Linked DNA regions of Lonchura striata. The protein of the gene in region 1 binds, or shares a complex with, the protein of each later gene. Links are inferred from orthologs where the notes say so. Each region holds a gene or a part of one and is shown on either strand. Other genes may lie near its edges.

What was found.
Region 2: the proteins of TOMM5 (region 1) and VDAC2 are in contact, whole or in part, in a cryo-EM structure (PDB 9EII), measured with the Homo sapiens proteins. The link is inferred for Lonchura striata from reciprocal best matches to the Homo sapiens genes TOMM5 and VDAC2. Residues at the interface, in NP_001001790.1 of Homo sapiens: Ile25, Arg29, Leu32, Ile33, Ala36, Arg39, Val40, Phe43, Ile44, Lys47; in NP_001171752.1 of Homo sapiens: Val38, Thr60, Gly63, Asp239, Tyr258, Gln260, Thr261, Leu262, Leu268, Leu270, Val286, Leu288.
Region 3: the proteins of TOMM5 (region 1) and PINK1 are in contact, whole or in part, in a cryo-EM structure (PDB 9EII), measured with the Homo sapiens proteins. The link is inferred for Lonchura striata from reciprocal best matches to the Homo sapiens genes TOMM5 and PINK1. Residues at the interface, in NP_001001790.1 of Homo sapiens: Met1, Phe2, Arg3, Ile4, Gly6, Leu7, Ala8, Lys10, Leu11, Asp12, Pro13, Glu14, Met16, Lys17, Arg18; in NP_115785.1 of Homo sapiens: Gln484, Ala488, Gln491, Ser495, Lys496, Pro498, Val502, Lys520, Leu522, Lys523, Leu524, Met527, Glu565, Cys568, Gln569, Ala571, Leu572, Leu573, Cys575, Ser576, Trp577, Ala579, Ala580.

The regions. Positions count from the first base shown.
Region 1 is NC_134642.1:86,219,261-86,224,944, reverse strand, and holds TOMM5 (mitochondrial import receptor subunit TOM5 homolog), read left to right. Parts: upstream 1-3,954; 5' UTR 3,955-4,008; coding exon 4,009-4,129; intron 4,130-4,811; coding exon 4,812-4,846; 3' UTR 4,847-5,115; downstream 5,116-5,684.
Region 2 is NC_134609.1:11,428,401-11,435,966, reverse strand, and holds the start of VDAC2 (non-selective voltage-gated ion channel VDAC2), read left to right. Parts: upstream 1-4,475; 5' UTR 4,476-4,640; intron 4,641-7,566. UniProt on the Homo sapiens protein: Non-selective voltage-gated ion channel that mediates the transport of anions and cations through the mitochondrion outer membrane and plasma membrane.
Region 3 is NC_134626.1:7,640,524-7,648,412, forward strand, and holds the start of PINK1 (serine/threonine-protein kinase PINK1, mitochondrial), read left to right. Parts: upstream 1-4,820; coding exon 4,821-4,867; intron 4,868-4,978; coding exon 4,979-5,150; intron 5,151-7,653; coding exon 7,654-7,889. UniProt on the Homo sapiens protein: Serine/threonine-protein kinase which acts as a sensor of mitochondrial damage and protects against mitochondrial dysfunction during cellular stress.

The DNA.
Region 1 (5,684 bases):
TCATCTGGTGTTGTTACTTTCTTTGGAGCTGGGGAGGGTTTTGTTTGTTAAACAAACAGGTTATTTTCTGCTTCTTTCAGAGAAAATTCTCCCCAAATAGGGTGGGGGGGAAAGGGCCAAGGGGGTTTGTTTTCTGGGGGCTCCTTCCAGAGGTTTTTCTCCCAGATTTGCCCTAAACAGGACATGTGCCCAGCAGAGACTGTCCTGTGCCCGACACTGTCCCAGGAGGTGCCTCTGGGCTGGCAGGAGCCCCTGTGCCCCGGTGAGACGGGTCTGGAGCTCAGCCCTGGGGCCGTGGGGCCCCCGGAGCTGCCGGGGACGAGCGGAGCCCCGGCAGGCACACAGAGCCAGCTCTGGGTGGGCACAGAGCCGTGCTGCTGTCAGGCTCGGCCAGGATGGAGTCCTCGGGAGCTCCAGCATCACCTGCCTCGCCTCCCCGTGCTCCGCTGCCAGGCTGCCCAGGCCCTCTGCAAAGCCTCTGCTCTGCATCCCTGACACACCTCGGGTCCAGTCTGGTGAGTGCAGGTCCCTGGTGCTCCTCTGTTTTATCTATTCCAGCCTGGCCCTATAGTCTGTCATAGACAAACACCCTACCCTTGACAGCTCAGCCACCTCAGGTGGCTCCTATGACAATGCTGGAAACCGAAAGTTTTAATAAAAGGCAAAATAAAAAAGCTCTTTACAGAGAACAACCAAGCCAGGGCAAGAGGTTCTTGCTCCTGCTAAAACACTGCACAAAAGCAATTAACTTATTTTGTTCTCTTCTTTCCTAGGGAATTGCTTAGGCAGGACTTTTTGTGTCCTGTCCAATTGGCTATCCTTAAGTTTGAGGTGAAGTCCCCAAGGTCCTTTGAGGTGTCTTTTAACCACATTGAGGAGAGAAACTTCTGGGCTTTTGTCCTTTTTAAGGGGACAAAGGGTAACTTGTTTAGGCCTCAACAGGGGCACAGTCCCTCCACATCTGGCCAGTGGATGCAGTTAACAGTGCCAGGGCCAGGCTAACAGTGCCTGTTCCAGGAGCAGGGCAGGCTGTCCTTCCACATGAGCCATCCTGAGCCATCCCCACTGTGCAGGAGAGGAGAAACACCACCAGACAGTGCCTGACGGCCACTCCACAGGAGGTTTTTATCCATCAGGCCACCATGGGGAGCTCCTTGCTCCTAGAAACCCGACTGAGGTCTCAAAAGGAATTATCAGGGCAGTTTTAATTTCTGTGGGCTGTTTCTCTCCAGCCCTCTGCACCAGCAGCGTGTTACCATAGCTCCAGAACGTCATGGGAGCAATGGGGAGAGAAGCCTGAATTTCAGCTGAGTGTCTGGGCTTGGCCAGTGTGAAAAATGCCAATCACTTGGTTTATAAAATTTTAAAAGTTTAATAATAATAAAATGCTTATAAAAATAGTAATACAATTGCATGAATAAAATTTAGAGTTAGGACAATCACAAGACAATAAAAAGCAAAGAATTATGGACATCTGGATGCTCTTGGACACTAAGTTATGATAAGTATACTTTGTGAACAAAGGAATAACTTTAAAACCAAAAGCCTGTTGCATATTCATATATTCTTCATGGTTGTGTATATATTTTATTTAAAACAAGAACTCTGTCTGTTGTATGTTAACTATTTCTTTTATTCCCCATGGCATCAGTGAGTCTGAGAAAGGCCTGAGGAAATTAGCTTCTTCCTTTCACATAGCAGAGTTTCTATTTTAACATTGTGCTGGAACCTGAAACTGTATTTAACACTCTACTTAAGAGAATTAATACAGCATAACTTTCTAACATTACACACATAATACTCATTGTAACATTTGCGAAAAGCCAGTCATAAAACATGCATTTTTCTCAGCCAGCTTCCCAGGCAGCTCTGCCCAGCCATGCCCTCTCTTCTGCATCCCACCCAGCATCAGCCCGGCCACTGCACCTGCAGCCTGCATCCCTGGGCTCGTGGGGCTGGTTTCCACCCAGATCCCACAGATTTCCAGGAAGATTACCCACAGCAATGGTGTGAGAAATGCATATTTTATGATTGGCTTTTCACAAATATTAAATGGAATATTATATGTATTGTGTTATATTGATTTGAAGTGCTGTATTAACATTTTAATAGTATGGTAAATGTAGTTTTGTAGTTAAAATAGAAACTATGTATGTGGGGTTTTTTTTAAACAAATGAGATACTCACTTTGAGATAACAGTCACAGAACCCCTAAATCTTCCAGAGAAGAGAAATTGATGGTTTTCTTATCAGAAGAAGCTCATTTCTCCAGACCTTGCTCAGACTCGAAGACACCATGGGGATTGAAAGAGTTGGCATACTCCAGAGAGAGTGTCTTGTTTTAAATAGAATCTATGCATAATGTCATATATATACCATAAAGTATGTATGAATATGCAACAGTGTATGGTTTTTAAGGGTGATTCCTTTGTTCACAAAACATGCTTGTCGGGGCTTACGTGCCCGAGAGCATGCGGACATCTGTAATTCTTTGTTCTTTATTGTCTAGTAATTGTCCTCGGGGTCTTGCCAACTGACCCCAACACCTGAGGGGTGAGCAGATCCCACGGGACGCCGGGCTCTGAGGTGCTGAATCTCCTTTCCTGAGCCCGGAGAGCCCGAAGCTCCCAGGGCAGGGGGTCTGGAGGAGCTGACACCCTCTGCCCGCGGTGCAGAACCGGCCGTGCCCGTGGAGGGCTCGCGACATGCGGCGGACTGGGCTGAGGCTGTCCCTGTCCCTGTCCCTGTCCCTGTCCCTGTCCCTGTCCCTGTCCCTGTCCCCTGTCCCTGGCCCTGGCCCTGGCCCTGGCCCTGTCCCTGGCCCTGGCCCTGGCCCTGGCCCTGGCCCTGTCCCCTGGCCCCGGCCCTGGCCCTGTCCCTTCTCCCTGTCCCTGTTTCTTATCGCCGGCGGGGGACTGTACAAACCAGGAACGGACGGGACTGCTGAGGAACGTGTCCCCAGCTGTTCATTTTCCAGCATCACTCTCATTCCATGGTTATGACAATGGGAAGGTGCCAGCAGCTCACATCCCAGCAGCAGAACAAGAACTTAATGTTACATCTTACTTTAAAAGCTTTTTGACCAGTCACACAAAGCAAAAGCACACTGGCACTAGTTCTATCCAAGCTCTTATAAGCACACATACCTTTGGTTAAAGCAATGCTCGCTTATTTCCAATACAATACCTGCTTGTAAGCCTTAAGATACAATGCACAGAGCTCCATTATTAAGCTTAGACCTTCCTAATATCTCACCAGAGATACTTTTCTGCACCTTAGGGAGTTATTCTACCCCAGTGTTAACACACAGACCATTGCTCTATTTGTCCTTTCTACTTCTTGTATAATTTTTCTGCTGACAAATCTCATGGCTACTGCTGAGCTCTCATCACCATCCTGCTGTCTCGGAGGCCTTTTGCAGCGTGCCCAAACCCCTCTGATTGTAAGGAATCTTTCTCTGTTCGCTCTCCCTGTGCCGCTCCGTGTCCCTGTGGCTGTCCCTGCCTGTGCTCGTTCTCTCTGTTCCGTGTCGCTGTCCCTCTCTCCGCCCTGTCCCGTGTCGCTCTCCCGTCACGCCCGCTCGGAAGTGACGCCGTCTCGCTCCCGCCTCCGCTCCGGTGCTGCCGCCGCGCGTGGCCGCAGCGGCGCCGGGGCCGGGTCGGGGTCGGGCCGCGTTCCGCGTTCCGCGCTCCGCGCTCCGGGCTCCGGGCTCCGCACTCCGCGTTCCGCGCTCCGCGTTCCGCGCTCCGCGTTCCGGGCTCCGGGCTCCGCGTTCCGCGCTCCGCGTTCCGCGCTCCGCGTTCCGCGCTCCGCGTTCCGGGCTCCGGGCTCCGCGTTCCGCGCTCCGCGTTCCGCGTTCCGCGCTCCGGGCTCCGCGCTCCGGGCTCCGCGCTCCGGGCTCCGCGCTCCGCGTTCCCAGCTCCGCGTTCCCAGCTCCGCGTTCCGCGTTCCGGGCTCCGCGTTCCCAGCTCCGGGCTCCGCGCTCCGCGCTCCGCGCTCCGCTCCAGGATGTTCCGCATCGAGGGGCTGGGGCCCAAGATGGACCCGGAGGAGCTCCGCCGCAAGATGCGCCGCGACGTGCTCGCCTCCGTGCGCAACTTCCTCATCTACGTGGCCCTGCTGCGGATCAGTGAGTGACCCGGCTCCCGGGCCGTGCCGGGCCCGGTACGGGGATGTCCCGGCCCCGGGGATGTCCCGGCCCCGCCGTGCCCCGGCCCCGGGGATGTCCCGGTCCCGCCGTGCCCCGGTCCCGGGGATGTCCCGGCCCCGCCGTGCCCCGGCCCCGGGGATGCCCCGGCCCCGGGGATGTCCCGGCCCCGGGGATGCCCCGGCCCCGCCGTGCCCCGGCCCCGCCGTGCCCCGGCCCCGGGGATGTCCCGGTCCCGCCGTGCCCCGGTCCCGCCGTGCCCCGGCCCCGGGGATGTCCCGGCCCCGGGGATGTCCCGGCCCCGGGGATGCCCCGGCCCCGGGGATGTCCCGGCCCCGCCGTGCCCCGGCCCCGGGGATGTCCCGGCCCCGGGGATGTCCCGGCCCCGCCGTGCCCCGGCCCCGGGGATGTCCCGGCCCCGCCGTGCCCCGGCCCCGGGGATGTCCCGGCCCCGGGGATGTCCCGGCCCCGGGGATGTCCCGGCCCCGCCGTGCCCCGGCCCCGGGGATGCCCCGGCCCCGCCGTGCCCCGGCCCCGGGGATGTCCCGGCCCCGCCGTGCCCCGGTCCCGCCGTGCCCCGGCGCCGTGCCGGTCCGGGGCGCTGCCCAACCCGCAGCAGTCCGGCCGCGGCCCGGGCTCGACTCCGCGCTGTTTCCTCCCGCAGCTCCCTTCATCCTGAAGAAGCTGGACAGTATATGACCCCTCGGGCCCGGCGGGATGAGTGGCAGCTGCTGTCCCGCGGGGCTGGCCGCCCGGCACGGCTCGGCACGGCTCGGCACGGCCCCCGCGGCCGTGGGGCAGAGCATTCCGTGCTGCGTGAGCAGAGCCCCCGTCCATCCCGCACACGCTGCGGCTCGCCGGCCCGCCCGCGTGCGCCGGTCTGCCCTTCATCCAGCTCACCTGCAGCGTGAAATAAGCGGGAAATAAATGGAAATATAACAACGGAAATAAACGGGAGAGCAGCTGTGCCTGCTCGCTGTTTATTTGTGACAGTCATGGGTGGGATGGGGCTGGCTGGGATTGCTCCCTGGCTGCTGCTGTGGCTCTCCGAGCCTCCTGGAGGGGCGGCAGGCAGGTGGGATGTGCAGACACGCGGTGGGCACGGCTGGGAGGGCAGGAGCCAGGGCAGGGCAGGGCAGGGCGCTGCCCCCAGCCGGCTGTGCCAGCTCTGCTGGCCCGGGACCCGCCAGGACCTCTCCTTGGCTCCCGGGATGGGGGCTCATCCCCCGGGCAGGGGTCCTGGAAGTGCAGCTCAGGTTTGGGAACTGGGTGTTTTGTTGGGAGCAGAGCCACATCCCTTGGAGACTCCCTGCCTGCGGCCTCGGGTGCCTGCTGCATCCAGGGAAATCACCCATCTGCATTCCCCTGGGAAATGAAATCCAGGGCGTTCCTGAGCTCAGGTGACGTGGTGGCTGCAGGGAGGAAGAGGCTTTTCCCCTCCTGTCTCAGAAGGCATTTTCCTTCTGCCCTGGCCCAGGGGTGTCCCCGCCAGGTCCTGTGCTGGGGACAGTCCCGACAGCAGGGCCAGGGCTCAGGC
Region 2 (7,566 bases), on another chromosome or scaffold:
AAACTCTTCATTGGATCAGAGCTACTGCAACATCTGCTTATTCCAACACTGATGGTTCTGCTCAGGGCTGTAGGTAGAACACTACATCTGCCCAATGCATTCCATGAATTATAGGAAAAAACTAGTTTGTTGTATCAAATATACCTTCACCATAGTCTTGCAAAAATAATTTTAGCCCACGACTAAGGCATCTAGTCAATCCCCTCCCTGCTAGAATTTGACTCCTTTACTTGACTTAGTGTCCCATGTTATTTTCTCGACGTGTATATTGTCTCTACGTATTTTCTCTACCCTTTCCTTTTCCTGACTCAGGGGAGAATTAGTGTTCGTAGGTTCATTTGCTCTTGGGCTTTATAAACTACAACAGTATAGAGTCCTGCAACATTTCAAGGCTGAATCTGTGCAGGCTCCGCCGCCGAGGAATCGCTGTGACTGTCGCTGCTGATCATGTGGCTCCCGCCAGCAGCGCAACCCGCGCAGGCTGCCGGCACCACCCCCGCGCCTTTCTTTCATGCGGGACACTGCAAGAAAGAAAAACGCTGCTGCCACTGCTTTTGTCCTTCTGTCCGCAGCAGAGCCGGTTAAAGCGGCTAAGCAAAGTCCCCTGCGAGTCACGCCGGGACAGCTGTGGCCGCACGGCACCGCTGCAGTTGTGTCCATTCGGACACGCACTCCTGGCCACGTCCGGGATGGCGCTGGCCACTCCTGGCCCCGGGGCCACCCTCAGCGCCGACCACAGGGCCACTCCCGGCGCTAGTGCTGAGTAAACCAAGTTCACTCGTGTGCCATGCCGAAATAGCCGAATAGCGTGGCCCCGGCTGCACGGCGCTGCCAGGGCTGCACGGATCCCGACCGAGCAGTCCCGGCCACAGGGCCACTCCCGGCCGTGTGGTTGCCTACGGCGCTGGGACAGTTCCGGTGGCACGGCCCGGCAGTAGCAGAAATCGCAGCGGAGCTGCGCGCCGAGCCGGCCACGTGGGCCCGGCCTAGTCCGGCCTCGCCGAGAGCCGGAAGCCAAAAGCCGCGCCCGGCCTTCGTTCGTGCTTCCAGCGTGCTCGGCACTGAGGCACGGCCAGCGCCTCACAGCCGGGCAGCTGATCGATTGGCTCCCCAAAGCGAGGCCGCTGATTGGCGCCTCAAAGCGAGGCCGCTGATTGGCGCCTCAAAGCGAGGCCGCTGATTGGCGCCTCAAAGCGAGGCCGCTGATTGGCGCCTCAAAGCGAGGCCGCTGATTGGCTCGGCCCGCACGGGACCCGCCCCGCAGCCTGCGGCCGGCCCTAACTGCAAGGCAGATTTCGTTAAACCAAGGCATTGCCTCAGCCCTAAAGTCACTTCTTGGTATCAACTGTGTGCCTCTGACCTAAGGTATTCTCTGTGTCAGATTATTTGAATGTGTTAGCTCCATTTGGGCCTGTTTAAAGCGTGTTTTAGAATCTGGTTTAAGTTAAACTTCTTCCTAGTAATTTAAGCTAAAATGAAAGAAGGTTACTTGAAGCTTCTTAGGAAAAAAATGGAAAGGCATTAAGTGTGTCAGTCTAAAGGATCCTGGCAGTGTAGGCCTCTGCTGATTGCCCTCTTAGGGCTTTCCAGAGGCCTAGTTTGCACATAAGAACAGTTGTAGGGTATCAGACAAAAGGTGTAGACAATCTAATATCCCTGCCTCTGGGATGATGAAGTGAGCAATTATTTAGGCAGCACACACCTATAATAACAATCCAAGAACAGGATAAACTTAAATGATACTTCCATTTGCAACTCGGGCATTTTCTGACTCCAAACAGGCTATATAGCAATATGTAATTCTTGAATGGATTTGTAATTAGTAATCCTTGCTGGATTTCTCTTCCACAAGCCTGTCTAGTTTCCCTGGAGCCCATATAAACATTTAGCTTCTGGTGTCAGGTAATTCCACTGGATTGCACTCTTTCATAGAAAAACTCTTGGCTTTGTTTATTCTGAATTTGTTTCTTGGTAGCTTCAACTATTTTCCACCCTTTCCCTGCTGGTTACACTTTCAGCATCTCTGCTATATGCCCTAAATCAGCTTGTTTCAGGATGCAACTGCTAGATCATTTGTAAGGCTTCTCCAGGGAATCATCAGCTGAACATCTGCATCTGGAGGGAAGATAAAGCAATGACTTCAGGCTCATGTCAGAAGTGAACGTAAGTTATCTGAACTGCATGGTGGACACTGGTACGTACTGTAGACACTTGCTCTCTTTTTGTTGCTCACATACGTTCTAAATTGTGGAGAGAGAAGCAGAGTTTTTGTTCAAATGACATTAAACTTACAGTGACCTGTGGGTTTTCTCCAAATGGTAGCAGTAAAACACGTGACTCTGATGTCAGTTATACGTAAATACGGCTGTGTTCGTACAAAATGGTAACAGTTCAACTGCAACTGGCCCCAAAACTGGAGAGCTGCTGAATTTCAGTAGAAAACCAGCCCATTCAGAGGAAGTGCACCTACATAGGAGGTGTGTGCACTAAGTGGTATGAAGAAATTGCTGAGAAGAAAGGTGCAGAGTAATTCAGAAGGCTTGCTATTGCAGGCCTGAAGCTGTGCCTTTTTGGGGCTCTGAGCTCGAGTAGATCTGCTAAGGCATGAGGCAATAAGGCATGGTTGTACAAGGCAGGGGCAGTGCAAGAGTGAGTAAAAAACACTGGCAGGCAAAGGCTGTTGCAACAGAGCCTGTAATGCAGAGGAGTTTGCTGTTGTGTCTCAGATTATTGCTTCTGCCTTGTCTCACAAAGCAAGTGATTCATTGCTTTTTTTGCTCAGGGCAGGGCAGTAATTACTTTCCTAGATTGCTAAAAATAAAGCCAAACCATTACTAAAATATTAATCTTTAAAGGGAAAAAAAAGGCAGAATGCTGATGTCTCCTATAAGCAACTGGACTTCTATTCAGAATGGATTTATTTATAGGACTGGTATGAATAATAAATGCATGTCTTTAAATAATGAGCAACTTATTCCACAATCTATTTTTACTTATTTTTACTTAATCAGATCTCTAGTTATTTTGAATGTATGTTTCCATGTACAGTAAGACACACTGGGTTTCTTTTCCTGCTGTTATTTATTTTCTCAGTATGTGGCTTTCCTTCTTGATTCATCAACACATATTTATCTCTGCAATGCCAAACTGTCTTACTTAAAACCGTCAGAATGAAACATCTCTTGGGTCTTTTGATGTGAAAGCATTGGACTTACACACACACACACACACACACACACACACACACACACAAAATCTGTTGCTTATCTTTTGCTATAACAAACAGGTGCAGACTGGCGTTATGTTGGGCCTTTCTACTAACCTGCTCTCTTAATATACTGGAAAATTACTGTTGTGCCATGTGTTCTGGAAAATGAATTGTGATATTATGTATTCTCTGTATCACACAAATATATTGTGTATTTGTAAACGAATTTTGCTTTCTTGAAGAAGTTGAGATCATGTCATAACCCAGGCAAGGAGAGAAGAATATGAGTTTTAGAAACGGTTATTGTGCAGTTCCTTGGCCTTGCAATGGTCTGCATTGGTGAATCGGCGATTCCTCCTGCTGCACAGTAGTCGTGTGACTGTTCTCCAGCTATGATTTCTGGTCAGACAGCACTGTCTGGGAAACGTATCTGAGGGTCACTGCTTCTCTCGGCCTGAGACACACTGTGCTTTTATGGGGAAGGTGTCTGTGGGTGGTGATTGGAAGAGGTAAAAACGGAGCTTAGGCAATTTGAAAGTCTGCGGCAACTTGTCGGCAGGAGGCTCGACACCTTGTTCGATGGGCTACAGCTGCCGGAGCGGCAATGGGACGGCCGTGCTGCGGGTGGCCCTGTGTGTCCGTGGCACAGAGCTTGTGAGGGGGGATGTGTTCAGTGCAGTGGGGCAAGGGCGAGCAGCCAGCGGAGCGATATGGGCACTGCAGCATCGCCCACGCTCGGCGGGCGCCGTTCCCCGGAGAAGGGAAGGGCTCCTGGGGGCTGTGAGGAGCAAGGCCCGCCATCTGCACAAAGGCCGCGGCTGAAGGGCGTCTCCCGTCCGTGTGCCAGCGCGGGAGGGGCTGGGCCCCGAGAGGGCGGCCGGTGCTTTCCCCGGCAGGGCAGCGGCGCCGGGATGCTGCGGCAGGCGCAGGCGAGGGCCGCCCGTCCCCGGAGGGACGAGCGCTGCCGCGCAGCCCCGGGCGGCTCCCGGGCGCGGCTCTCCCGGCCGCTCTGCGGCTCCTCCGCGCCCGCGGGCGGCCCCGCCCCTGCGCGCGCCCCGCGCAGCGGCCCCGCCCTCCCGCAGGCCCCCGCCGCCGTCGGGGCTGCCCGCCCGAGCGCCTGCCCGGCCGCGCCGCCGCCGTCCGGCTTGTGGCTCGGGGCTGCGGCACCTCCCGCCGCTGCCGAGCTCCGGGCCGCGGCCGCCGGCGCCTCCCGCGGGGCGGGGGTGGTGTGGCGCTGCGGGCGGGGCAGGCGGCGGGATGGGCGGCCCCGGCGCGCCGGGGTCCTGCGCGGCGGCGGCGGCGGGCGGGCGGATCAGTGTCTCCTTCAGTTCGCCCTCCACTGCCCGCGGCTGCAGCAGCGCGGCCTGCCGGACCACTCTGCCCGCCCCTGACCGGCCTCAGCCCTGCTCCGCCGACGACCCGCAACACGCAGGTGCCGGCCCCGGCCGCCACGGGCCTGGCGGAGCATGCGGGGGGGGGCGGGCGGGGCTCGCCCGGTGGCGAGCGGCTCTGAGGCCTCGTGGGCCGGGGGTGGCCGGGCCGCGGGCTCGTCCCGGCGCTGCCGGGTTCGCGGGGCGGGCGGCGGCCTCTCCGCGGCCGCTGTCCCCGCGGTGCCGCGGCCGGGCTCGGCTGCGCGAGGCTCGGCGGGCGGAGGTCAGGCCGGGATGCCCAAGATGGCCGCGCCGAGCGGGTCGGTTCACCTTGCGGCGGGGCGGGCGGCGCGCCCGGCCTGGGGCCGCCGCTCGGCCCGGCCCGGCCCGGCCCTGCCCGCGCTGCGGCCGCATCCCCGCTCGCCCTTCCCTCCGGGAGGCGCTACTTTACTGCCCCCGCCTCGCTTCCTGAGCCCGTAAGCTATTTCCAGATCCTGTCCTTAAAGTTTCTACCTTGGCCTGGCCCACATTAGGCTTCCGTGTCCACCTCCGGTTTGTGTGTAGGGAGAGCGTTAATGCAAGGGTAAGGAGGTGGCTTTTTTAAGCATCTGTAGTATCAGTGTAAGCCTGAAGGTCACCGTGTGTCCGATGTATTTTAACAAATTAATTTTTGAATAATCTCAGTTCTTTTGTTGCTATTTGTTGTGACACTGGGATAATTTCGGCGTAGTTTGTTGACTTTTAAATTGGTGAGTACCCTTTTTTCAATCTATTATCGGCTGATAGGGTTTGTAGTTTGATCTTGAATATCTTGAGATCTTGGGATTGTTAGAAATCCTAATAGAGGTCTGTGTCATTTTTTAATTGTAGAGCTTGAGAGTTTTGAAATACTACTTCCAAGGAGAACTGTGATGTAGTAATTTCAATAATACTAATACATTTTTCTGTTCTTTGGGTGATTTTCTTTTTATCGCAGAAGAAAGCGTGATTGTGGCTCCCGAGTGACAGATTAATTAAACTTCATCACGGTGGCATGAAACAAAGATTAGGGTGGAGCTCTCACTTGGCTCAAGTATATTCTGTACTTCAAGTCGATTATTTTACAGTTTTTACAACAAATCTCTAGTTGCTAAATGACGCTTGTTGTTTAGTGATTTGTAATTAGTAGTTTTTAAGTGAAAGGTGCTTCAAAATAGGGTTGAAAAAATTACTTGTGACTATGAGTTTGCAAGCCTATCTAACATTAAAGGACACAGGTCTGATTTTTTAATGGCCCTTTTTTCATTTAATGAGAGTTCTAATGGTGACATTGGTTTATCAGACATTTAGTATGTACAAAATTAACTCTTGCTTTCCTGTTTTGTCCTCATCCATCCCTGTCAGTGTTACAGTATAGTATTAGAACAGCAGTGTGACAGTTGTACTCTATTTCAACGTTTTATTACAAAACTTTTATCTGTAGACTGGAATGTCTGACAAATACTGGCTGGTTTCCCTGCAGGGGTAAGGATGCTTAACTAGGCCAGATAAAATGATAACATCCTTTTTACTGTAATAATCCTCTGAATTTTGACAGTTTGTTAACTTCTCAATACACTTCTGCTTAGCATAAATCTCTTGTCTGTACTGTTTGTCTAGTGCATTTGGAAACATTGAAAGCAAAAGGGAAAAGCTTGTTTATTTATACTGTAAAAGCATGTCTGTGGTAAAGGCTAATATAAAACTCCAAAACTAGAATTAATTATTTTTATGGCAATGCTAGTTAGAGGTGAGATCTGTTCATTAGAGGAAACGTGTAGCTGAACCTTGTCTATAATATGCTAAGGTGCTGAATTGTACAGGTGCTGTACAGGAGGACTGCAGGCAAGAGTTCTTGCACTCCCTTGTAATTGGTCTGTCAGCTGTTTTTTTTTATGGAAAACATAATAGGAGCCATTTAATGACTTGTCACTGGGATTAGGTTCTGTTCTTCTATAAACTTTAATTTGGGTTTGGCTTCTTTAAAGTTCAGATACTTTAGGCCATTTTCATGTCTCTTTTTAAAAAAAATAATGTTTAGTTTAACTCCATGGAAAACCAGACTTATTTTTGAACAAGTGATAGATGTCTTGATATAGTGACTGGCTCTAGAGTTTAGACATCTTTGCTAAACACGTTTTTCTGAATTTGTGTGTATGTGTGTGAAACTGATTGTAAATACTGTTTCTCAGAGGAGGTTGAAATTATCCCCTTAGGGCAATAGGGAGCTGAAGTAGGGTACTCTGGAAATCTGCATTATGAAATGTAGAAAAATAACGAAGAGTCTTCTGCCTCCCCCATTGATTACTAAATAGTTTGTGGTTTTTTTTTTTTTTTAATTAATAGCAGTTCATACAATTTGGCTGTATATGGCAGGTGTAATTAGAGTTTGGAAGTTAAGATGTGAGAACACTGCCATTGTTATTTTTCAAGTTCTAAAGATAGTTTTTTCATTTACTTAAAGAGAAAAATCACACAAAAGGAAGATAAGAAGTCAGTTATGTTATTCTGAGTCTCTCAGCTAAACAAATGTGACCAATCAGTTTGAGAAGATAAGATTTTTTGTTCTCATGTGTTTTGCCTTTTCATGGCCTTATCTAGTTTCATTTTGCCCCTTTTCACAGTCGAGGGGGAGTTACTAATATGCTCTGTTTCCTATATTTCACAACTTTAAAATTGCAGGCCTCTGTGACAGCAGCCTCTTGCTGTTGAAATCATGGGAAAACAGTCTTTCAAGGAAGTACAGATAAGAGTGTGTGCTCCCAGGGAGGAGAGTGATAGGGGCCTGGTGAGACCTTAGCCTGGAGTTTGTCCATAGGGCCAGAGGGCTGGGCCATGGCCCATCGGCAGTGGCAGGTTCTTTAACAGCAGGGTGGCCGGAGGCTCTGTCTGAGAAAGGCACTTGTAAAGAGATCTCTTCTCCCAGACCCCACACTCCTCCTACTTGGGTTTTTTAAACTAGCAGGACAA
Region 3 (7,889 bases), on another chromosome or scaffold:
ACCAGCAGGTAAGGTCAAAATCCAACAAACTGGACAAAAATCTCAGTGGTAAATCCCTGGAGGCTGTGACAACCATTCTTGCAGCTAGAAAATGGAGCAGGAAGCTCCTTGGGCAAGGGGAAAAATAGAGAAATTAATCTTTAATTAAAAAACAATTTGATGATCACCCGGGAGCCCTTTCCTTGTGTGGGCTGATTCCCCTGGAAGCACCGGCCAAACTGAATTTGGGCTCCAGCATGAGGGCATCTGAAATTGGGCTTTTGACCACTTGTGTCTTCAGCCAGTTTCCCCTGTTGACTGTAGTTAGAAGACCTGGGAAATATTATTTTTTATGATAAAAATATATTTCTGTATACTTTGTATGCTTTCAATAATTTAATTTATTTCTTTTGATCTCACTGATCAGGAGCTGTTGTTCCTTCCCCCAAGGAATGATTTAAGGACAATTTCCTGTGGAGCCACAAAACCAGTTTTGAACTGAGGAGGGGTGGGATGGCGGCGGAAAAAAGCTCTGCTGGGACAGAGAAAGGAGGAAGTAAATAACGAAAACAAGAGAAATTGGAAAGAATGAGGCAGCAGGCAGAGAGAGGATGTGGGAATCCCTGAAGACGGTGCTTTTGGGGCCAGGGCTGTCCCTGAGGATGCTTCCCGGAGTTCAGCTGCGTGCCGGGGCGTTATCCCGGCGTCCCGGCCAGCCTATTTTCCAGGCGAGGAAATATTTAACCGCGGCGTCAGCGGGCAGGGCAGGCGGCTGCAGGAATGGAGGGAGGCGGGCAGCACCCGATCCCTGCTGTCCCCCCCGGCCAGCCGCAGGGTGACCATCTCCAGCTCCTGCTGCGCCGCAGCCGGGAGGCCAAAAACTGCGCCTATTGCCCCTACAGCCAGTTCCCGGTGGGAGCTGCACTGCTCACCGCCGGCGGGGAGATCTTCTCGGGTAAGATGGGGATCTGAGCCCCCCGGGGATTTTGGGGAGCCCCCAGCAAGCCTTGGGTCATGTATGAGGGTGCAGCGGGGTCACCCCGGGGTGCTGGTGCTGTGTGTCCTTCCCCGCTGCCTCTTGGCAGCCGCCATCCCGGAGCGAGCCAAAGATCACAGCGGATGGGAAAATAAATAGGGGAAGCAGGGCAAATGGCTTTTCTTTGTCAATTCCCTGAGAAGAAAGGAGCTGGTGGGGTTTGAGGTGGCTGATGCCGGGGCTGTCCCTGCAGGGTGCAACGTGGAGAATGCCTGCTACAGCCTGGGGATGTGCGCCGAGCGTGCTGCCATCCAAAAAGCCATCTCCGAGGGGCACACCAGCTTCAAGGCCATGGCCATCGCCAGGTGAGAGCTGGAGCGGCGAGGGATGGGATGGGCAACCAGCAGCAGAACCCCTGCTGCTCCTCAGGGACAGCTTCTTTTGCAGCAGCCCCATCTTTTGGGGAGGCAAATAAAGTTTTTGCATGCTGTTTTTGGTGGAATTGGGGGGCAAATCTGTTGTGGCTCTGTATTTTTTGGGGCGTGAGGGTCTTCTGCAGGTGTTCTTCCCTCCTCTGACCTCAGGACTGAATGCTGTGCCCTTCTCCTTTGGCAGTGACATGGGGGACCACTTCATCACACCCTGTGGCGCCTGCAGACAAGTGATGAGAGAGGTGACAGCTCGTGTGGGGCTCCATGGCTCATTCCCTGATCCCAGACACCATTCCCTGACCCCAGGCATCTCCCCCTGAAACACCTGGAGGTACCAAGGAGGGTGCAACGCCCCATCCTCAGCCCCAGGGCTGGCTCCAGGCTCCTCAAATTTCATTACCTGCTGGCAGAGGGAGATTCCAGCCCTGGGTTGGGTGTTCATTAGCTTGCCTTCCAGGTGCAGAGTTTTGCCCTTGAGCCCTTGCTCTGGCAAGCATGAAAATGGGGGTTTTCCTGCAAAAGCTGAGTTTCCCAGAGATCCTATCCGGCTCTTGTATCCCTCCTCCACAGGAATCCCAGCACCCACTGCCCATTTTTGGGTTGTTAATATGTCAGATTCAGCAGGTTCAGAGGCACTGGGGCTCACGCTGGTGGGGTAAAAACACAGGATCTGAGCCCAGAATATCCTCTGGGGGAGGTAATGCTGCTAAGCCAACCCAAAATACATGCAATAGAGGGGGATGCTCCCTGTGAACCTGAATAAAAAGGAGTATATTATTAATTTGGGGAAGAAATGCAGGTTCTTCCCTCCTTCTTCCCCCTCATCAGGCTCTTCTTTCTCCTCCTCCAGTTTGGCACAGACTGGGATGTCTACCTGACCAAAGCAGATGGCACCTACATTGTCAAGAGGCTGGAGGAGCTGCTGCCACTCTCCTTTGGCCCTGAGGACCTGAAGAAGGTCTGAGCAGAGTGGCCATCACCAGCCTTTGCCCTTAGGTACAGGGAACAATGGTTTTCCCTGACTCTCTCAGCCTGTAAGCAATTTTTTGGGAACAACACAATGGAAAACGTGTTTATACTGTTAAGTTGCCTGTTCCTCTGGATCATCTTCTAATTCAGTGTTGATTCACAGACTCCAGCTCCACCTTGCCCCGAGGAAATGGCAAAATCAAATAATAGAAATTCCCTGTTACTAGTAAAAAAAGCATCCAGACATCCCTGTAGGCAAGGGAGGACATAGGTTTGATGCAGAACTCAAACAGGCTTTGGTACAGAAACCACTCCTGAATATGCAAAATAATTGCTTGGGAAAGTGCTGGATTCTTCAGCTCTAAAAAGAAGTGAAAGCAAGAAGGAAAAGGTCCATCAGCGCCAGAAGTGACCCAATCCAGATTAGGTGGATTGCTGGAACAGGATGGTTATTGCACTGACCATGTCCTTTGCTCCTTTCTCCCCAGCTTGTTTTACTTTTATTCTGTTTGGGGTGAAGAAGAGGGCAGGGAGTTTTTGGGGACTTCTGGAGAGTTTTATGTCTCCAGGGTAATGCCATTTGTTGATCATACATTGATGTATAATACAATGATAAATTAATTAATTACATTTCCCAACCAGCACTGGGCTGAGCATTTCTGCCATGCCCAAGTGAAATAAAAGCAGTTCTGGTTTATCTCCTGCAGTTGTAGCGAGTGATGGAAATAGGGAGTGGGGTCCCAGGGCTGTCCTGCAGCCCAGGCAGGGCTGGGGGTGCTGGATGTGCCCTGGGAACCTCATGAGGTTCAACAAAGCCGAGTGCAGGGTGCTGGTCAGGGCAGCCCCTCAGTACCTGCATTGGCTGGAGGATGGAGACCACTCCTGCTGGGAAGGACTTGGAGGTGCTGGTGGATGAGAGGCTGGATGTGCCTCAGCTGTGGGGCTGATGCCACAGCACGGGCAGCAGGGGAGGGAGGGATTCTGGCACAGGGTGCTCAGAGCAGCTGTGGCTGCCCCAACCCTGGAAACCAGGTTTGGATGGGGCTTGGAGCAAGCTGGGAGAGTGGAAGGTGTCTCTGCCCATGGCAGGGGTGGAACAAGGTGGGCTTTGAGGTCCCCTGCAGCCCAAACCAGCCTGTGATTCTGTCATTTGGTGATTCCACACACTGGGCTGTGCCTGGCTGTTCCCAGGGCACTGGCATGCTCCATGCCAAAGCACTCCTGGCTGTGGCATCCATGCCCTGCATTGCACAAGGCTTTACCTTGGCTGAACCCTGCTCTGTGCCCCGCTCCATGACCCATTCCGTGCCCTGCTTGATGCCCCACTCCATGTCCCCTGTTCATACTGCACTCCACACCTGCTCCATTGCTCTATGCCCCATTTCCCATCTCACTCCCATGCCCTGCACCCTGCCCGTCTCCATGCCCGTTTCCACACCCACTCCCTGCTCCACTCCATGCCCTGTTCCCTGTCCCCCTCCATGCCCACTCCCTGCCCCATCCATGCCCCATTCCCTGCCCCACTCCATGGCCTCTCCTCTGCCCATTCCTAGCCCCATTCCCTACCCCACTCCATGCCCGTTCCCTGTCCCACTCCATGCTCAATCCTAGCCCCATTCCCGGCCCCACTCCGAGCCCCTCTCCTTGCCCATTCCCTCCCTCTTCCCTGCCCCTCTTTCTCCCTATTCCCTCTTCATTCCCTGCCCCACTCCGAGCCCCTCTCCCTCCCCATTCCCTCCCCGTTCCCTGCCCCTCTCCCTCCCTATTCCCTGCCCATTCCCTGCTCCTCTCCCTCCCCGTTTCCTCCCGTCCCGGGGCCGCGGCTCCGCGTTCCCCGGGCGTGTTTCGGGGCCCCGCGCTCCCCGGTTCCCCGGTTGTGTTTCGGGGCCCCGCGTTCCCCGGGTGTTTCGGGGCCCCGCGCTCCCCGGCTCCCCGGGTGTTTCCGGCCCCGCGCTCCCCGGTTTCCCGGGTGTTTCGGGCCCCGCGCTCCCCGGCTCCCCGGGCGTGTTTCGGGGCCCCGCGTTCCCCGGTTTCCCGGGTGTTTCCGGCCCCGCGTTCCCCGGTTTCCCGGGTGTTTCCGGCCCCGCGTTCCCCGGTTTCCCGGGTGTTTCGGGGCCCCGCGTTCCCCGGTTTCCCGGGTGTTTCCGGCCCCGCGTTCCCCGGTTCCCCGGGTGTTTCGGGGCCCCGCGTTCCCGGTTTCCCGGGTGTTTCCGGCCCCGCGCTCCCCGGTTTCCCGGGTGTTTCGGGGCCCCGCGCTCCCCGGTTCCCCGGTCGTGTTTCCGGCCCCGCGCTCCCCGGTTCCCCGGTCGTGTTTCCGGCCCCGCGTTCCCCGGTTTCCCGGGTGTTTCCGGCCCCGCGTTCCCCGGGTGTTTCGGGCCCCGCGCTCCCCGGCTCCCCGGGCGTGTTTCGGGGCGCGGCCTGTCGGCGCGTCCCGCGGTGGCCCCGCCCCGGCCGAGGCCGTGGCCATGGCGGTGCGGCTGCTGCTGGCCCGGGCCCTGCGGCTGCTGCCGCGGTGCCGGCCGCCCTGCGCGCCCCGCGCCGCCCCGCGCCCCGGGCCCGGCCCCGCGCCCGCCGCGCCGTGGCGGCCCGGGCCGGGCTGGCTGGGCTGGCCGGGCTGGCCGGGCTGGCTGCCGGCCGCCCGCCGCCTCCTGCGCGGCCCGGCGGCCGGGCTGGCGGCCGCGGCGCGGCGGGGCCGCGGGGGCGGTGTGTGCCTGGCGCTGGCCGTGGCGCTGCGGCTGGTGGAGCCGCGCCTGGAGGAGCAGCGCCGGGCTGAGGCGGCGTGTCGCCAGATCCAGGTGGGGAGCGGCCGGGGGTCCCGCTGGGCAGCGCCTGCGGCGCTCTCCGTGAGGGAGGGGGGCTGGCTGGGAAGGAGGCCCGCAGGCACCTCCCAAGAAGGGCAGAGGAGGTCGTGGCCCTCCAGACATCCTTCGTGAAAGGGAGGGTGGTCCTTGGTGTGCGGAGCCCCTTGAACACCCCCGTGGACGCCTCGGAGTGTCAGTGCTGTGGGGAGACAGGCACCCTCCCAAAGAAGGGTAGGGGAGCCCTTGCTCTGGGGAGCCCCTGCACGCCCCCGCTGAGGGTAGCGGGGGTCATCCCTCTGGAGAAGCCCTTCGACATCATCCATAAAGGGGAGGGGGATTCTGCTGAGGAGCCCCTCAGATGCCCCCTTGCAATGGCAGGGGCATCACTGCTGTGGGGAGCCCCCTAGACACCCTTGGTGAAGGGGAGAGCCTTGTTTTATGGAGCCCCTCAGACATCCCTCATGAAGGGAAGGGGGATCGCTGCTGTGGGGAGCCCCCCGACAGCCCCTGTGAAGGGCACACTGGGGAGCCCCACAGACGCCTCCGCATCTCTCCCCAAGGAAGGCGGGGTGCTGCAGTGAGCAGCCCTCAGACACCTCCCCAAAGGAGGAGTGCTGGGAGCAGCCCCACAGGCGCCTCTTTCTCCCCAAAAACAGGGTCCTGGGGAAGTCCTTCACTCACCAGCCCTTCATTGCCCTAAAGCACAGTGATGCAGCCACCACTTTCAAAAGCAAGGGACCCTCACTCCCTGTCCCTCCAGAGGGAGGAGGTCAGGCCCCTGGTGATGGGGGTCTCATGTCCCAGGACACTGATGTTGATCCCTAGGGCCCCTGTGGTGCTGGGCCAGGCTGTGCTGGCAGGGCACAGGGGACATATGGTACTGAACTTATTTCCCGGGTAAAAATAGACCTCTGGTGCTCAGAGCCAGCTGTCACCTGCTCCACTGGCCAGCAGACGCGTTCCCTGAAGTTTCTCCTGAAGAGGATCCTTTCTCTCCTCTGTCCTTGCTGGGTTGTTCCATTTGCTGTCCCTGGTCTGTGTCTGATGACACATCCCTAGGGTGTCACCGGTGCCTTGGGGCTGCAGCTCACAGAGAAGGCCACTTGTCTGTATCTGTCCAGGTGACAGCTGGGGCAGCACCAGACCTGTAGGATCATGAACTGTGAGGAAACTCCAGAACAGCCTCCTGAGTGTTGTTTATCCACGTCTCTTGATTTCCTCCCCCAGCTCCCTCCCATCATAGATTCACTCTCCCTCAAACTAACCAGCCCTCACAGTCAACTGCCACACAAAGGCCATTGTTTCTCCTGTTGCTGCTTTTAATTGGATTTTCTTTTAAATGCTGTTTGCCTGATTTGTTTATGGAGAGGGAGAAAAGTGTAATAATGCATCTGTTTTCAGAAGTGTTCAGTTAAACTTAGCTTTACACAACCCCAGAATCATGGAATGGTTTGGGCCGGAAGGGACTTGAAGCCCCATCTCCTTCCACCCCTGCCATGGGCAGGGACACCTTCCACTATCCCAGGTTGCTCCAAGTCCTGACCATCCTGGCCTTGGACACTGCCAGGGATGGAGCAGCCATGGTTTCTCTGGGCAAAATATATTTATATTCTAAATTGGCAAATGACTCCCCCTCCTGGTTTCTCTTCTTCCCTCGAAAAGGGCACCTTTGGAAAAGACTGGTGTAGGGGTAAATTGTATCACACAAAAATATGTGGCTTGCAGATGATCTTTCATGTGGTTACAGTGATTTGAGCCCAATGGTTAGAGTCTGATTGACACTTTCAGGTTGGACCATCTCACCAGGACGTGTAATACCACTGAAACACCAAGTTCTCCTTCGCTGGTGTGAAAAACGCCAATCACTTGTTTTTTAAAATTTTAAGAGTTTAATAATAATAAAATGGTTATAAAAATAATAATACAATTAGAGTAATAAAGTTTAGAGTTAGGACAATTACAAGACATTAAAAAGCAAAGAATTATGGATGTCCGGATGCTCTCAGACACTAAGTCACGAAAAGCATGTGAACAAAGGAATCACCCTTAAACCAATACACTTGTTGCATATTCATATATCCTTCATGGTTATGCATACATTCTATTCTAAACAAGAAACTCTGTCTGTTGTATGTCAACTGTTACCTTTAATCCCCCGGCATCTTTGAGTCTGATCAAGGCCTGAAGAAATTAGCTTCTTCTGATAAGAAGCCATAAATTCCTCTCCTTTGGAAGATTTAGGTGTTCCTCGAAGCAAGTATCTCATTCCTAAAAAAAAAAACTTCCCCACATACATAGTCTCTATTTTAACATTATGTTGGAACCTAAAACTATATTTAACACACTACTAAAGAGAATTAATACAACGTAACTTTCTAACATTACACATATAATATTCATTGTATCATTTGCAAAAAGCCAATCATAAAATATGCATTTATCACAGCTGGGAAGTCTGGGATAACTGAGCTCGTTCTTCTGTTCATGTTCCTTTCAGACCGTGTTTGTTGGGAAGAACAAGCCGCAGAAAGATCCCCTGAGCTCCTTCCGCTGGCAGGGCTTCAAGCTGGAGGAGTACCTCATTGGCCAGCCCATCGGGAAGGGCTGCAGCGCCGCTGTGTACGAGGCAGCTATTCCCTTCTGTCCCACCCCTCGGGATCCAGCCCTGCAGCAGGACCGTGCCTCAGCCTCCCAGGGGGCTGAAGGGGAGCCTGTAGTGAAGCACCAGCCAAA